2 linked regions of the Saccharomyces cerevisiae S288C genome follow. The protein of the gene in region 2 interacts with the protein of the main gene of each other region in a biochemical or structural test. Each region holds a gene or a part of one and is shown on either strand. Other genes may lie near its edges.

Region 1 (3,235 bases), on a different chromosome or scaffold from region 2:
CACCTTTCGATCTGCCCGGCGATGTAACACCAGCACCCCTTTGATCAAACGTAAATGACTCGTAACCATTGAGTGATAAGTGGTCCATAAGCCGGAATTGAATCTTTGTGTACTCGCCAAACCCATGAATCAGTAAAACTCTACCTCTGACCTCATTGGTGCCATTTTGAACAGGCCAGAACATGTACCCGAACTTAGCACCATCAAAGTTTTCGTATTGAAGTTCAGGTACTGTCGTCTGCACTTTGTATGGATACGGAGCCATGCTTTTCTATTTGTCCTCGGTTTGTGTGGCTTTGGCTTGCTTTAGTCAACAATGGCTTTTCCGATATGTATTCATTTATAAGAAAATTCAATGAAAAAACGGCCAGACACTTCGAAGTCCGAAGGGGCTGTCGCCCCTCGTAAGTAGCGATGGACGCTATAGTGTGGAAGCAACCACAGTAGCACAGCATCACAAGAGATCATGATACCAATCGTACGTTCCTTACTTTTCTAGGTCATTTGAGAGACTTTCCTCGTTTTATAACTATCCCTAACGGATTCGTACGCACAGAGCTTTTCTTCTGTATTTTTCCCTTAGTGGATGTAGGATTAAACAACGGAGTTCTCTTCTCATCGTTGTTATTGCCAGGTTTATTGGTACGCTGCCTGTGATTGTCAAATACCTGATCTACGAGGTTGTCCAGATCATCAGTCGTTACTGCTTTTTCTTGTTGTGCGTGTTTGCTGCGGTTTATCATTTCAGCTCTCTGGCTCATTTCAAGGTTTTTTTTCCTTAAATTTTCAAGTTCCTCATCATCCTCTTGCTCTTGTTGAATTTTGGCTAGTCTTTTTTCCAGCAAATCCATTTTGTCATCTGCTTGCTCCTTTATACCCATCTTCTCGTTCTGCTCCATTTCCTTCTCTCTCACTAAGCGTTGCAGTGTCTCGTCTATGCTTTCGACAGCTGTTTTAGCGTTCAGGTCATCATTTGGTTTCTGAGGGACATAGTTTCTTACGCCCCCCACTTCCATTACATAATCTGAATTACCGGGGTCTGTTCTAAATGCAATGGAATTGGCACAACGTGGACATGAAATGGTTAGTCTATATATCTTAATGGAGTCCAGGTACTTCTCCTTCAGTAGCTCTTTCTTACCATTGAATTTTCTGCTTTTGGGAATATATTCGTTACATTCCAAACACCTCATACTAAATGGGGTCATTAATCTAATCGATGCGTGGCTCTTATTCATGGTTTTCAGTTTTTTAGCCATTTTCCTGGATAGCTTTTCAGCTTCCAGTGGGTTGTAATCCGGTGGATAGTACTTGTTAATAGCTTTTCTTTCAGACATTCTTGTATTCTCCTATCAGCCTGGAAACGGTTAATTTGGTTTGACTTATTAGTTCGTTCTACTGAGGTCACCGTAGTGATTTCTTGCTTTTTTTCGAATATGTACAATAAATAACAACTCTATGCGTATTAGCAGTCAGTGGAACAAACTTGAGATAGCTACTCTTATCTCCTTTTCTGTATATCCATCTTTCTACATGCAGCAGAGAAACCGCCGGCGGGACATTCACCTACTTTTCTACAAGTTTAAATTTTTCAAGCGAATCGGGGAATGTGAGAGCTGCATGCAAGAAAAGGAATGTAGGTAGGAGGACAATGTAAGAGAATATTATGGGCCATTTCATATTACATTACGCTATATGTAAGTGATCATTATGTAGAAAGCTATATTGAAGGAAATAAAACATGCAGGTTTTGTTCTCGTACTTACAACAAGTAAGCAGCTGCGACCGCTAGAGCACCAGCACCCATGCCGACGGCAGCCTTGGCACCTGCATTTTCTGTTTGTTCGTAAACTGTGTTTGGAGCTTGGATTTGTCCATCAGTAATTTGAGAGATAACTGAAGCAGTTGGGGAGCTAGCAGAGGAAGTTTCCACAGTAGTAGAGGTCTCGACAGATTCTATACTCGAACTATGCTTTGTAGAAGATGATGCGGAAGCAGACGAAGCAGAAGCAGATGAAGAGGAACTAGAGTCGCTTGGAGAAAAATCTGCTGCAACAGATCCGCTCTTACTAGTTGGTCTAATCGCAACACCGGTAGCGTCGTCGGATTGCTTAGAAGAGAAAATGTAAGACGACCCGTCCTTGATAGCGTAGAAACCAGAAGAGCTCTTGTAGTTTAGATGGCCATCTTTAATAGAAAAACCAGTGGCAGCATCGCTCTCAGAACCTTCTTTGAATGAGCCATCCTCATTGACAACAGCATACTTATCGTCGTCAAATTTCAGTTTACCGTCATCGGTAATAGTTGCCTCAAATGAGCCACTACCGCTGCCAAGTTTCAAAGTGCCGTTATCACTGTAAACACTCAAGTATTGTAAATCCGAGCCGGAACGGATACTCACCAGGCCGAATTCTTCGGAATCGGCAATGACCATCTTAGCCAAGGCGAATAAAGCGACAGACAAAGCAGTGGAGAATTTCATTATTGTTTTTTGAGACTTTCGTAGTATTTATTAGTTTGTTACGGGATATTTTACTTCAGACAGAAAAAAAATTCAAGGAAGATAGCGAAAGAAAGAAACGTTAAGATCGTCCTTTAAATAATTGAGATTTTGTTTGTTTGCTTTTTTTTTTTCTGCACCACAAATTATCAAAATTAAAAGGTGAAAAAACACTACATTGAACGTGAACCACAGAGCTTATTGTTTGTTGTTTTTTTTGTTTTCTTTTGTGGCACCTTCGAGATGGCTCTCCTGGAGTAAGTTACCGTTGTGGGACAACCCGCACGCACAGACGTAAGCGGACCCGTATTCCAATCGGGCCGAAGGGCCCTTTTCGTTCAGGGAGCTGTGGCTAACGCTATTTTTAGTTATGACGTACGGTGCGGCACCATCTATAACGCGAAGAAGTACTTTTTTTAGCTCTCTTTTTTTGTTTTCGCGGGAGGGGTTTGTTTATTATGATATTTTAACGGGATAGAAGGTCGAGCACACAATGTTTGCCGTCAAGAGGGGTATCTGCTTCTATATTCGTAACTTTCCAGATGTCCGATTTTTTTTTTCATTATTACCTCGAGCTACGATTCGGTACACATACATTCTTATTTTGAAACTTGTTCACCATATCTTTGCAAAAATTAATGAGATTCCAATGTTATGTATGGGTGAAGTATAAGACGTGGTTGCAGCATCCCTTAGTATTTGTCTAGTGGGGTTCTTCACTACTTACTCTTGAAG
Region 2 (9,480 bases):
AGAGGAAACAGAGGCGTTTAAAGTACAGCTTAAAGAAAAGAAAAGGGACAGAAATAAGAAAATTCTACTGGTGAAAAGAGAGTCTAAGAAACTGGCTAACGGCAACGCAATCATAGATGATACCAACGGAGAGAGGGCAATGAGAAATCAAGACATTTTAGTGGAAAACGTCAATGGAGTACCACCGATTGATCATATTATGGGGGGTGACGAAGATGATGATGAAGAGGAAGAAAACGACAATTTGTTGAATTTACTCAAGGATAACTCTGAGAAATCAGCAGCGAAAAAAAATACGGAAGTTCCTGTAGACATTATAATTCAACCAAGTGCCGCTTCAAAACATAAAATGTTCCCATTTAACCCCGCTAAAATCAAGAAAGATGATTATGGTACTGTTGTAGATTTTACGATGTTTTTACCTGATGATTCTGACAATGTTAATCAAAATAGCAGGAAAAGACCTCTCAAAGACGGTGCTAAAACCACGAGCCCTGTAAACGAAGAAGATAACAAAAATGAAGAAGAAGATGGTTATAATATGAGTGATCCAATTAGCAAAAGGAGCAAACACCGTGCTTCTCGTTACTCGGGATTTTCTGGAACCGGAGAAGCAGAAAATTTTGATAACCTTGACTATTTAAAGATAGACAAAACGCTCTCCAAAAGAACAATCTCAACTGTAAATGTCCAATTGAAATGCTCCGTAGTAATCCTAAATTTACAGAGTTTAGTTGATCAAAGGTCTGCATCTATTATATGGCCATCGCTAAAATCTAGAAAAATAGTTCTTTCCGCCCCCAAACAGATTCAAAATGAAGAAATTACGGCAAAACTTATCAAGAAAAATATTGAAGTGGTCAACATGCCATTAAATAAGATAGTGGAATTCAGTACAACAATAAAGACCCTGGATATCTCCATTGACTCCAACCTCGATAACCTTTTGAAATGGCAACGTATCAGTGATAGTTATACAGTTGCCACTGTCGTTGGCAGGCTGGTTAAGGAGAGCCTACCGCAAGTGAACAATCATCAAAAAACAGCGTCAAGGAGTAAACTAGTCTTGAAACCATTACACGGTTCATCTAGGAGCCATAAAACAGGTGCGTTGTCAATCGGTGACGTTAGGTTAGCACAATTAAAGAAACTTCTCACAGAGAAAAACTACATTGCAGAATTTAAAGGGGAAGGTACACTTGTCATAAATGAAAAAGTAGCAGTCCGCAAAATCAATGATGCAGAAACTATTATCGATGGTACGCCTTCCGAACTTTTTGATACTGTCAAAAAATTGGTTACGGATATGTTAGCAAAAATCTAGCCTTCTTGTATACAGCACAAATAAAAGGTTCAATTTACGTTCGTGGACTGCCCACAAAACAGTATGTGACATAAATTGCTGTGTATCTCGCACCGCTATTATCTGTATATAACATTCTAACTCACTTTTAACGATATTAGCATTATTGATTTCTTTCTTTTTCTGCTGAATTTCACCAAGCGGAAATTTTCAAAGCAGAATTTTTTCCCTAATTTGCTACAAGTGCTATTCTATCCCACAATAAAAGGAAATTGTTGATGAGTTTTAGAAGGATTAACTCTAGATACTTTGAAAATAGAAAAGGAAGCAGTATGGAAGAAAAAAAAGCAAAGGTTCCTCCAAACGTCAACCTTTCGTTATGGAGAAAGAACACGGTAGAAAGCGATGTCCATCGATTCAATTCTCTTCCATCAAAAATTAGTGGGGCCCTAACTAGGGAACAAATATACTCCTATCAAGTCATGTTTAGGATTCAAGAAATTACCATCAAACTGCGTACGAACGATTTTGTGCCCCCCTCCAGGAAAAATAGGTCACCTTCTCCGCCACCAGTTTATGATGCCCAAGGTAAAAGAACGAATACCCGTGAGCAGAGGTATAGAAAGAAACTAGAGGATGAACGTATTAAACTTGTTGAGATAGCCCTAAAGACCATCCCTTACTTCGTTCCTCCGGATGATTACAAGAGACCTACCAAATTTCAGGACAAGTATTATATCCCGGTGGATCAGTATCCTGATGTCAATTTTGTTGGTTTATTATTAGGTCCTCGTGGACGTACGTTAAGAAAGCTGCAAGAAGATTCGAATTGTAAGATTGCAATTAGAGGAAGAGGTTCAGTCAAAGAAGGTAAGAATGCAAGTGACTTACCTCCAGGCGCCATGAACTTTGAGGACCCCTTGCACTGTTTAATTATCGCAGACTCGGAAGACAAGATCCAAAAAGGTATAAAAGTTTGTCAAAACATTGTTATCAAAGCGGTGACATCTCCGGAAGGCCAGAATGACTTGAAACGAGGACAACTGAGAGAATTGGCGGAACTTAATGGTACTTTAAGAGAAGATAACAGGCCCTGTCCAATCTGTGGTTTAAAAGATCATAAAAGGTACGATTGTCCAAACAGAAAAATCCCAAATATACAGGGCATTGTTTGCAAAATATGTGGACAAACTGGACATTTCAGTAGAGACTGTAACTCATCGTCTCAAAGAATGAGCCGTTTTGACAGAAACGCCACGGTAAATAATTCTGCGCCAATACAGAGCAATGACGTACACTATAATAGCAATACTCATCCAATTCAAGCACCAAAAAGATCTCGTTATGACAATAACTCGACGGAACCTCCTTTAAAATTTCCGGCTTCTTCACGTTATGCACCATCACCTTCACCTCCTGCGTCACATATTTCGAGGCAAGCTCAAAACGTGACGCCTACACCCCCTCCCGGCCTAACATCAAGTAGCTTTAGTTCCGGAGTTCCAGGAATCGCCCCTCCCCCATTACAAAGCCCTCCAGAGTCGGAACAACCGAAATTTTCGCTACCTCCACCTCCCGGTATGACTACGGTACAATCCTCAATTGCACCTCCTCCTGGCCTAAGCGGTCCTCCAGGGTTTTCTAATAACATGGGCAATGACATTAACAAACCTACACCTCCGGGACTGCAAGGGCCTCCCGGATTATAATACACTCCCATTATACAATATCTGCATTTTTTTTTATTTGTGTTGAAGGTATGTAGTCTCTATTTTGCATAGTTCCTTTTTTTGTTGGTTTTTTGCCTTCCTGGTTATTATTAACTTTTGATATTTAATTTACTTACTAGCTTATTCTACTACTGTTTAGTTTCTACGGCCTGAACTACAATGACAAAAATATTATTTCACGATACCCTTACCTTTATTCAAAGTGCCTGTTCCTGTTTCCATTTTTTGGCTAGTTCCAAGAACTTTGATGGTTTTGGCTTGTCATCATCGATATCATCAGGAAAAATGTAATCCACGAATTCTTCTTCCACACCGTTCTGTAACCTCACTTTTTTGATTACTTTAGGGAATCTTTTCTTGACGGTTTCTTGATCGAGTTCAGTACCGTAAGTTTCTTCATAGTCTTTTAGCGCTTCCAAAATAGACAGTCTCCCTTGTTTATCATCCTTCTCCTTGAAAAAAACTATCGCCTCTTCAAAAACTTTTCTTGCCTCCAATTTATTCTCATCGGTAATTTCAAACTCTATGTCTTCATCCACATTTTCGCTTTGCAGTTTTGCTAAATCTAATAGTTGTTGCTCCGTCGGGGTTGAAGTTTGATACATGGCGAATTCGATCCAGCTTTGGGGGGAATATTGGTTGAGCTCCAAATATCTTCTATAAAGCTTCCTTGCCTTTTCAAATTCTTGTGATTCTGTCTCAAATGTTATGTATTTTTGAAGTAATACAATTTTAGCCTCCTTTGTTAAGAAATCAGAATTTTCATCTAGTGCAATTGTATATATACCTCTTACTCTATCCCAATCTCCTAAATTTTCTTCTAGTTCTCCATATTGTGACCAAATTTGTAGATCAGAGGGCTGAAATTCAATAAATTTCTCATATATTTTTCTCACACGATCAAATTCCTTCAACTTCACTTCCAACTCGATATATCCTTTGAAAGTTTTAGCCTTAGGACATAAACCGATTGCTTTACCCAAAATTTTTCTCGCCTTCGGTACATCATCATGTCGTATCAGAAATTTAGCATACATTAGCCATATTTTGGAAAAAGTGAAATGTTTATGAGGGATGATGTCGTCAATTAACCTCTGAAAAAGTTCTTCTTCTAAAAGCGAATTTTCCAATTCTAACTCAACATAGCATATATATCTCATCCACAGATAAATATACCTTTTCCACTGAACATTTTTTGATAGTTCTTTTGGTCGGCTGTCCACAATAGCTTTCTCGAAAGTTTGCATTATTTGTTTGGGGAAACTTTCTGAAATGAGATCCAAGTACAGCCACCAGGTGTCATAATCATAGGCGTTATTACTCAATATTGTTTCATACTCCATTTTCCTTTTATAGCTAATAGTTTCTTCTATTGAGTTTATGTCACCAAACTGCTTTTCAAAATCCAACAGTCCTGCCTTGAGCAATTGATTGGAGGGCCATTTTTCTATAGCAATTTGATAAAGAGCACTAGATCTTTCGTATTCTTGCTGCGCAGCTTCCCAATGAGCAAATGAATTTACTAATTTTGCAACCTCCATATCAGACCAAATCTGTAAATTTTGGAGGTTAGCTACTGTGTCTATCGCTAAAGAATACACACTTCTCGTAAATTCAGTATTACCATGTCTATTTTCAAACCTCACCCACTTTAGCCATGTCTGCATTTGCGGGTGAGCCATGACGTATTTTGAGTAAATCTCTCTTACACCGTTCCAGTTTTTCTGTCTTATTTCAAAATCCACGAAAGAATTCCATGCATTAACCCCTGGCTCCAAGGAGCACCATTTGGTGTACAGTGATCGTACAATTTCAACGTTGTTTAACGACTCTTCGACAATGAGATACTTGTACCATAACTTGTCTACTCTGGGCAACGTACTAATAGCTCTGTTCATAAGATTCCTAGCATGGTTAATACATTTGACTTTCAGCTCAGCATCAATGTATCGTATCCAAAGGGGGATGAATGAACTATCTACTAATAATGCTCTTTCAAAGATAGATCTGGCGCGCCTCATGTCGTGTTGTTCGATTTCGAATTGCGCATAACGAATCCATTGTCCCATATCCAGTCGGTTTCTCTTCAAATAACCCTCATATTCTGTTCTCTTCCTTCGTTGATACTCTCGAAGTTCCTCCAAGTCTAATATATCAATATTAGTCGATCCTCTTGCTTTTTGCCCCTTCTTGTACACATCCCGCAGAATCTGCTCCGCAGAAACATGCGTATCAACGGCTGTTGGCTCTAAAGTGTCCATGCTGGCAATAGTAGAGTACTTTTAGCTCAAGTTTGTCTATCTATTATGAACTTGCATAATCAATGAGTCTCATCACCCCAACTATTTGGCACCAAGGTTTTTAATTTTCTATCGCGTCTTACGGATGTATATAAATTATTTAACCAAGTATAATAGCGGTTAAATTGAACTCGCAATATTAGGAAAAGAGCTATGATGATAAGCTCTTCTTGATAAATGAAGCCAAGTCTTCTAATTCATCTGGAACTGTAGAATGGGCCATACCTTTGTATACTTTAAATTCATAATTTTGTATCTCACAGCTATCTTGATAGAACTGTTTTGCCTTTATACCTAGTCCAATAGGAACTACTGGATCCATGTCACCATGCCCATGAAAAATTGGTGTCTTTACATTAATGCCATTCTTATGTTGTTTCAGAATTCCTGGGATGGAACAAAATCCCGACAGAGCTACTATACCACCGATTTTCCATGGTAAAGTAACTGATGTTGCGAGAGCTAATGCGGCACCCTGAGAGAAACCTCCGATAATAATCTGCTCCGGTTTAATTCCTTTATCAATTTCTTGCTTAACCGTCTTTTCTATGGAATTCAAAGAATTCATAAAACCGTCACTGTCAACTTTGGAAAAACTAGGATCCCATTCCAAGATGTCAAACCAAGCAGGCATCAATGCACCGCCGTTTGCTGTCACATGAAGCTCTGGAGCATTAGGAAAAACAAAATTAGTATGCTGGAAAGCGGCAGGGTCTCTCTGTTGTAAATACTGAGCTAAAAATCCCCATCCCGAACCTGTATCACCTAATCCATGCAAGAATATGATAGTTTGGCGTGCTGGCTGAATTTTTGCTGCAACTCTAAGTCCATTCATATTCGATAGCGCTCAAATGGGCAAATATAGTGTATGTGTTCTTATTTTCGTTCTCTTTTGCTAACATTTTTATTTCATACAGAAGCCATTTTTCCCTAGAATAGGCGTTCTGAAAAGAAGGAAATATGAAAGTAAAGGCTACAAAACTAAGGATAAAACAACGAAGGAAAAATAAGGGGCTCAATATAAGCAGATTAGATATTATCAGAGCAGAAATGGATGTGGTACCATCTCCGGGTTTACCAGAAAAAGTAAACGAAAAAAGCAAAAATATTCCCTTACCTGAAGGAATTAACCTTTTATCATCAAAGGAGATAATCGATCTAATTCAAACCCACAGACACCAATTAGAGTTATACGTCACAAAATTCAATCCCTTAACGGACTTTGCTGGAAAGATTCATGCATTCAGAGATCAATTTAAACAATTGGAAGAAAATTTTGAAGATTTACATGAGCAAAAAGATAAGGTCCAAGCCTTATTAGAAAACTGTAGGATTTTAGAATCCAAATATGTAGCTAGCTGGCAAGATTACCATTCCGAATTTTCAAAAAAATATGGTGACATAGCATTAAAAAAGAAATTAGAACAAAACACAAAGAAACTTGATGAGGAGAGTTCACAGCTAGAAACTACCACAAGGTCCATTGACTCAGCCGATGACCTGGATCAGTTCATCAAAAATTATCTGGACATACGAACACAATATCACTTGAGGAGAGAGAAACTGGCGACCTGGGATAAACAAGGTAATTTGAAATACTAGTTCAGCAGCTACCGCCATTATCAATATGTACGTATATAGACTATACTTTATAGATTATTCTAGATGCCAAACGAATTATTAGAATATTAAAGCCTTTGATTATAGGCCATATCCCAGGTAAATAGTATACTAGGAATGAGAAAAAAAAATGTGAATAAATGGTAACCTATTCTTAGTGGGTAAGATAAACTATTGTGAAGTAAAAATGAAGACCGCCAACGTAACAATAAAAAATTAATAATAAAAAAAAACTTTGCCCAAGCGAGAGCAACGATTTCCGCCAGAAACTCCAACTGGCTTGGAGATGTGAATGTCTAAACTTTGTGCAACGGTTTTCAGATGAATGCAAAAAGAAGAGAAATTAATGTGAGGGGTAAAGATGGAACTATATGATCACCAACATTTCTTTTACTTGATGTAGAAGTGGCGGATGCAGTACTGGTCGTCAGGTTACCGCTAAAGGAAGCAGTTTGTGAGGAATTTACAGTAAATATGTTACCACCGGTAACAATAGATGCACTTGTGGACCAAGTGTTTGTATAGCCTGGTGCCTTTACGGCGCTTGGAACAGAGGATGTAATAATTTCGATATTTTCGCTTGTGGTATTATAGCGAGCTTGTGCCATGGATATTTCAAGATTCTCCAAATCATAAACCACGTACGCGTTAGTCAAAAATGAATCACCCAAAATGGTACCTGTGTCATCACTCGTTGGGATAATACCTAAAAGACATGTAGTGCCAGTACTCAAGATAAAACTCGAAAGTGGTGCATTGATGTGAAAACCACCAAAATCGAACACTATTTCCATACTATCATCAGATGGACAGTCCAATACGTAATACCCTATCCTGGAAGAGTATTGCGCACCTAGTTCAGTAGCGATCATACTTACCACTGTTTGAGGTAAATAAGTCAAAGTAGTACCGGAATCCAACAAAGCAGGTATTTTAGTGGTAGTCAAGGTCTTGTTACTACTCCCAGAATCACTAATACCGATACCATTAATAGTGACATCAAATTGAATGGGAGAGCTAAATCCACTAGCACTCAGAGTGTTTACGATGGGGATTGTGTATAAGGTGCCGGTATATTTACTGTGGTCCACGGCTCCGAACAAAATGGTGCCATGCATAGCGTCCGAGTCGTTCAAATACAAAGAATATGTGTTGCTTTTGATAGCACCAGAATTTTTCAATACAATGGGGAAGTTGTCGTATTTATAAGCTTTTCCACTATGAGACGCAGTAGAGCCAGAATAAGTGACTTCTAATTCGGGCAAACCAATACCTAACACACCCATAGTAGAATTCGTTTCATTGGCAACGGCAAAAGACAACCCGGTAACGTTCAAGTCGCTTAAATCCAAAACATCCGTACCAAAAGTACCGGAGGCAAAAGTCCCATCACCGTAGCTAATACTGAAATAGGTGTTGTTTGATCTAAATGTAGAAGAGCCCGAAGTGGAAAATGTCCCGTATTGTTGACAGTCCATGGTGGCTTCCGAAGCAGGCACGGATTGAGTTGCCGTACCTGAACCGCCTCCTAAGCCCGTAGCAGTGGGGCCAATGGCACTGCCCGTTCCCGTCAACCAGCCAAATGGGTTTATATCATTAATCAAAGATCCGCCGCTTGACGAATCATCACGTTTGTCAATAACACGTCTCCGGCTACTACCCATACTGTTCGAAGAACAGTATGGATTATCCGAGCCCATAATCCATAGATCAGAGGAGCCTGTGTCCACCAGGACCGTTACGTTCTGTGGTGGCGTGCCCACTTCCAAGTCCACCGAATAGAAACTTTGCTGGTTGGTAATTATAATTTCTTCATAACCGTCAGCCCTCTTCAATAGGCGTACTTCCGGTTTTTTGTCGCTTCCCACATTTTCTAGCGAGTCCCCGTAAAGCTTATGAAAGGGCAACTTGACGAACTTGGAATTCGAGTCGTCGTCGCGCTTGTTTGCTGCTGGTATTATCTTACCGAGAACCTGCGATGCAAAGAGTGACGAAAGGACCGCAGATCTTACAGTTTTCAGTTTCATATGTGGTAGGTAATATTATACTATATGCTTGGTGTTCACCTTATCTTTTTATTACGCTATGTATTTTAATATACAGAAAAGCCAATTGCGTTCTTCTTAATAACCGTCCAATTGCGGAAATAGGAACAAATGCAAAAAGAAGGAAAAAAGTAAATCCTCTTTGACACCCTTTTCTTAAGTAGTCGGATTTCCCTGTTTCTCCATAAATAAGTCCACGAATTTTTTTATGAAACCTCAATTTTTTCGGACACATCAGTGAAACGAAAACTACTCATGGCGCAGTATAAAAGGAGCGAAAAGCCACTCAGTTGAGTGGACGAGGGAGGTGAGGTGGTGACAGAAAAGAGGAGGAAGGAGGCAGTGCTATGTGAGGGTGTCTTGGCTGCATGCAAGGTCTGACGATCTAATTGACGCGTCAGAACGTGTGTTTTAGGAATATTCTTATTTAAGTATGCTTTTCCTCTTGAAATCGCGCAAAGAAGGAAAGGAAAAAGTGTCTA

What was found.
Region 1: the proteins of CLF1 (region 2) and YJU2 form a complex in vitro, tested with the Saccharomyces cerevisiae proteins (one study listed by BioGRID).

Annotation. Positions count from the first base shown.
Region 1 is NC_001143.9:260,379-263,613, reverse strand, and holds YJU2 (mRNA splicing protein YJU2), read right to left. Parts: upstream 1,338-3,235; coding exon 501-1,337; downstream 1-500. Other genes in the region: YJU3 (acylglycerol lipase), read right to left, coding at 1-265; CWP1 (Cwp1p), read right to left, coding at 1,763-2,482. UniProt on the Saccharomyces cerevisiae protein: Part of the spliceosome which catalyzes two sequential transesterification reactions, first the excision of the non-coding intron from pre-mRNA and then the ligation of the coding exons to form the mature mRNA.
Region 2 is NC_001144.5:379,241-388,720, forward strand, and holds CLF1 (Clf1p), read right to left. Parts: upstream 5,295-9,480; coding exon 3,231-5,294; downstream 1-3,230. Other genes in the region: cleavage polyadenylation factor subunit CFT2, read left to right, coding at 1-1,324; mRNA splicing protein MSL5, read left to right, coding at 1,582-3,012; TML25 (palmitoyl-(protein) hydrolase), read right to left, coding at 5,485-6,168; ESCRT-I subunit protein SRN2, read left to right, coding at 6,294-6,935; YPS1 (aspartyl protease), read right to left, coding at 7,271-8,980. UniProt on the Saccharomyces cerevisiae protein: Involved in pre-mRNA splicing and cell cycle progression. Required for the spliceosome assembly by promoting the functional integration of the U4/U6.U5 tri-snRNP particle into the U1-, U2-dependent pre-spliceosome.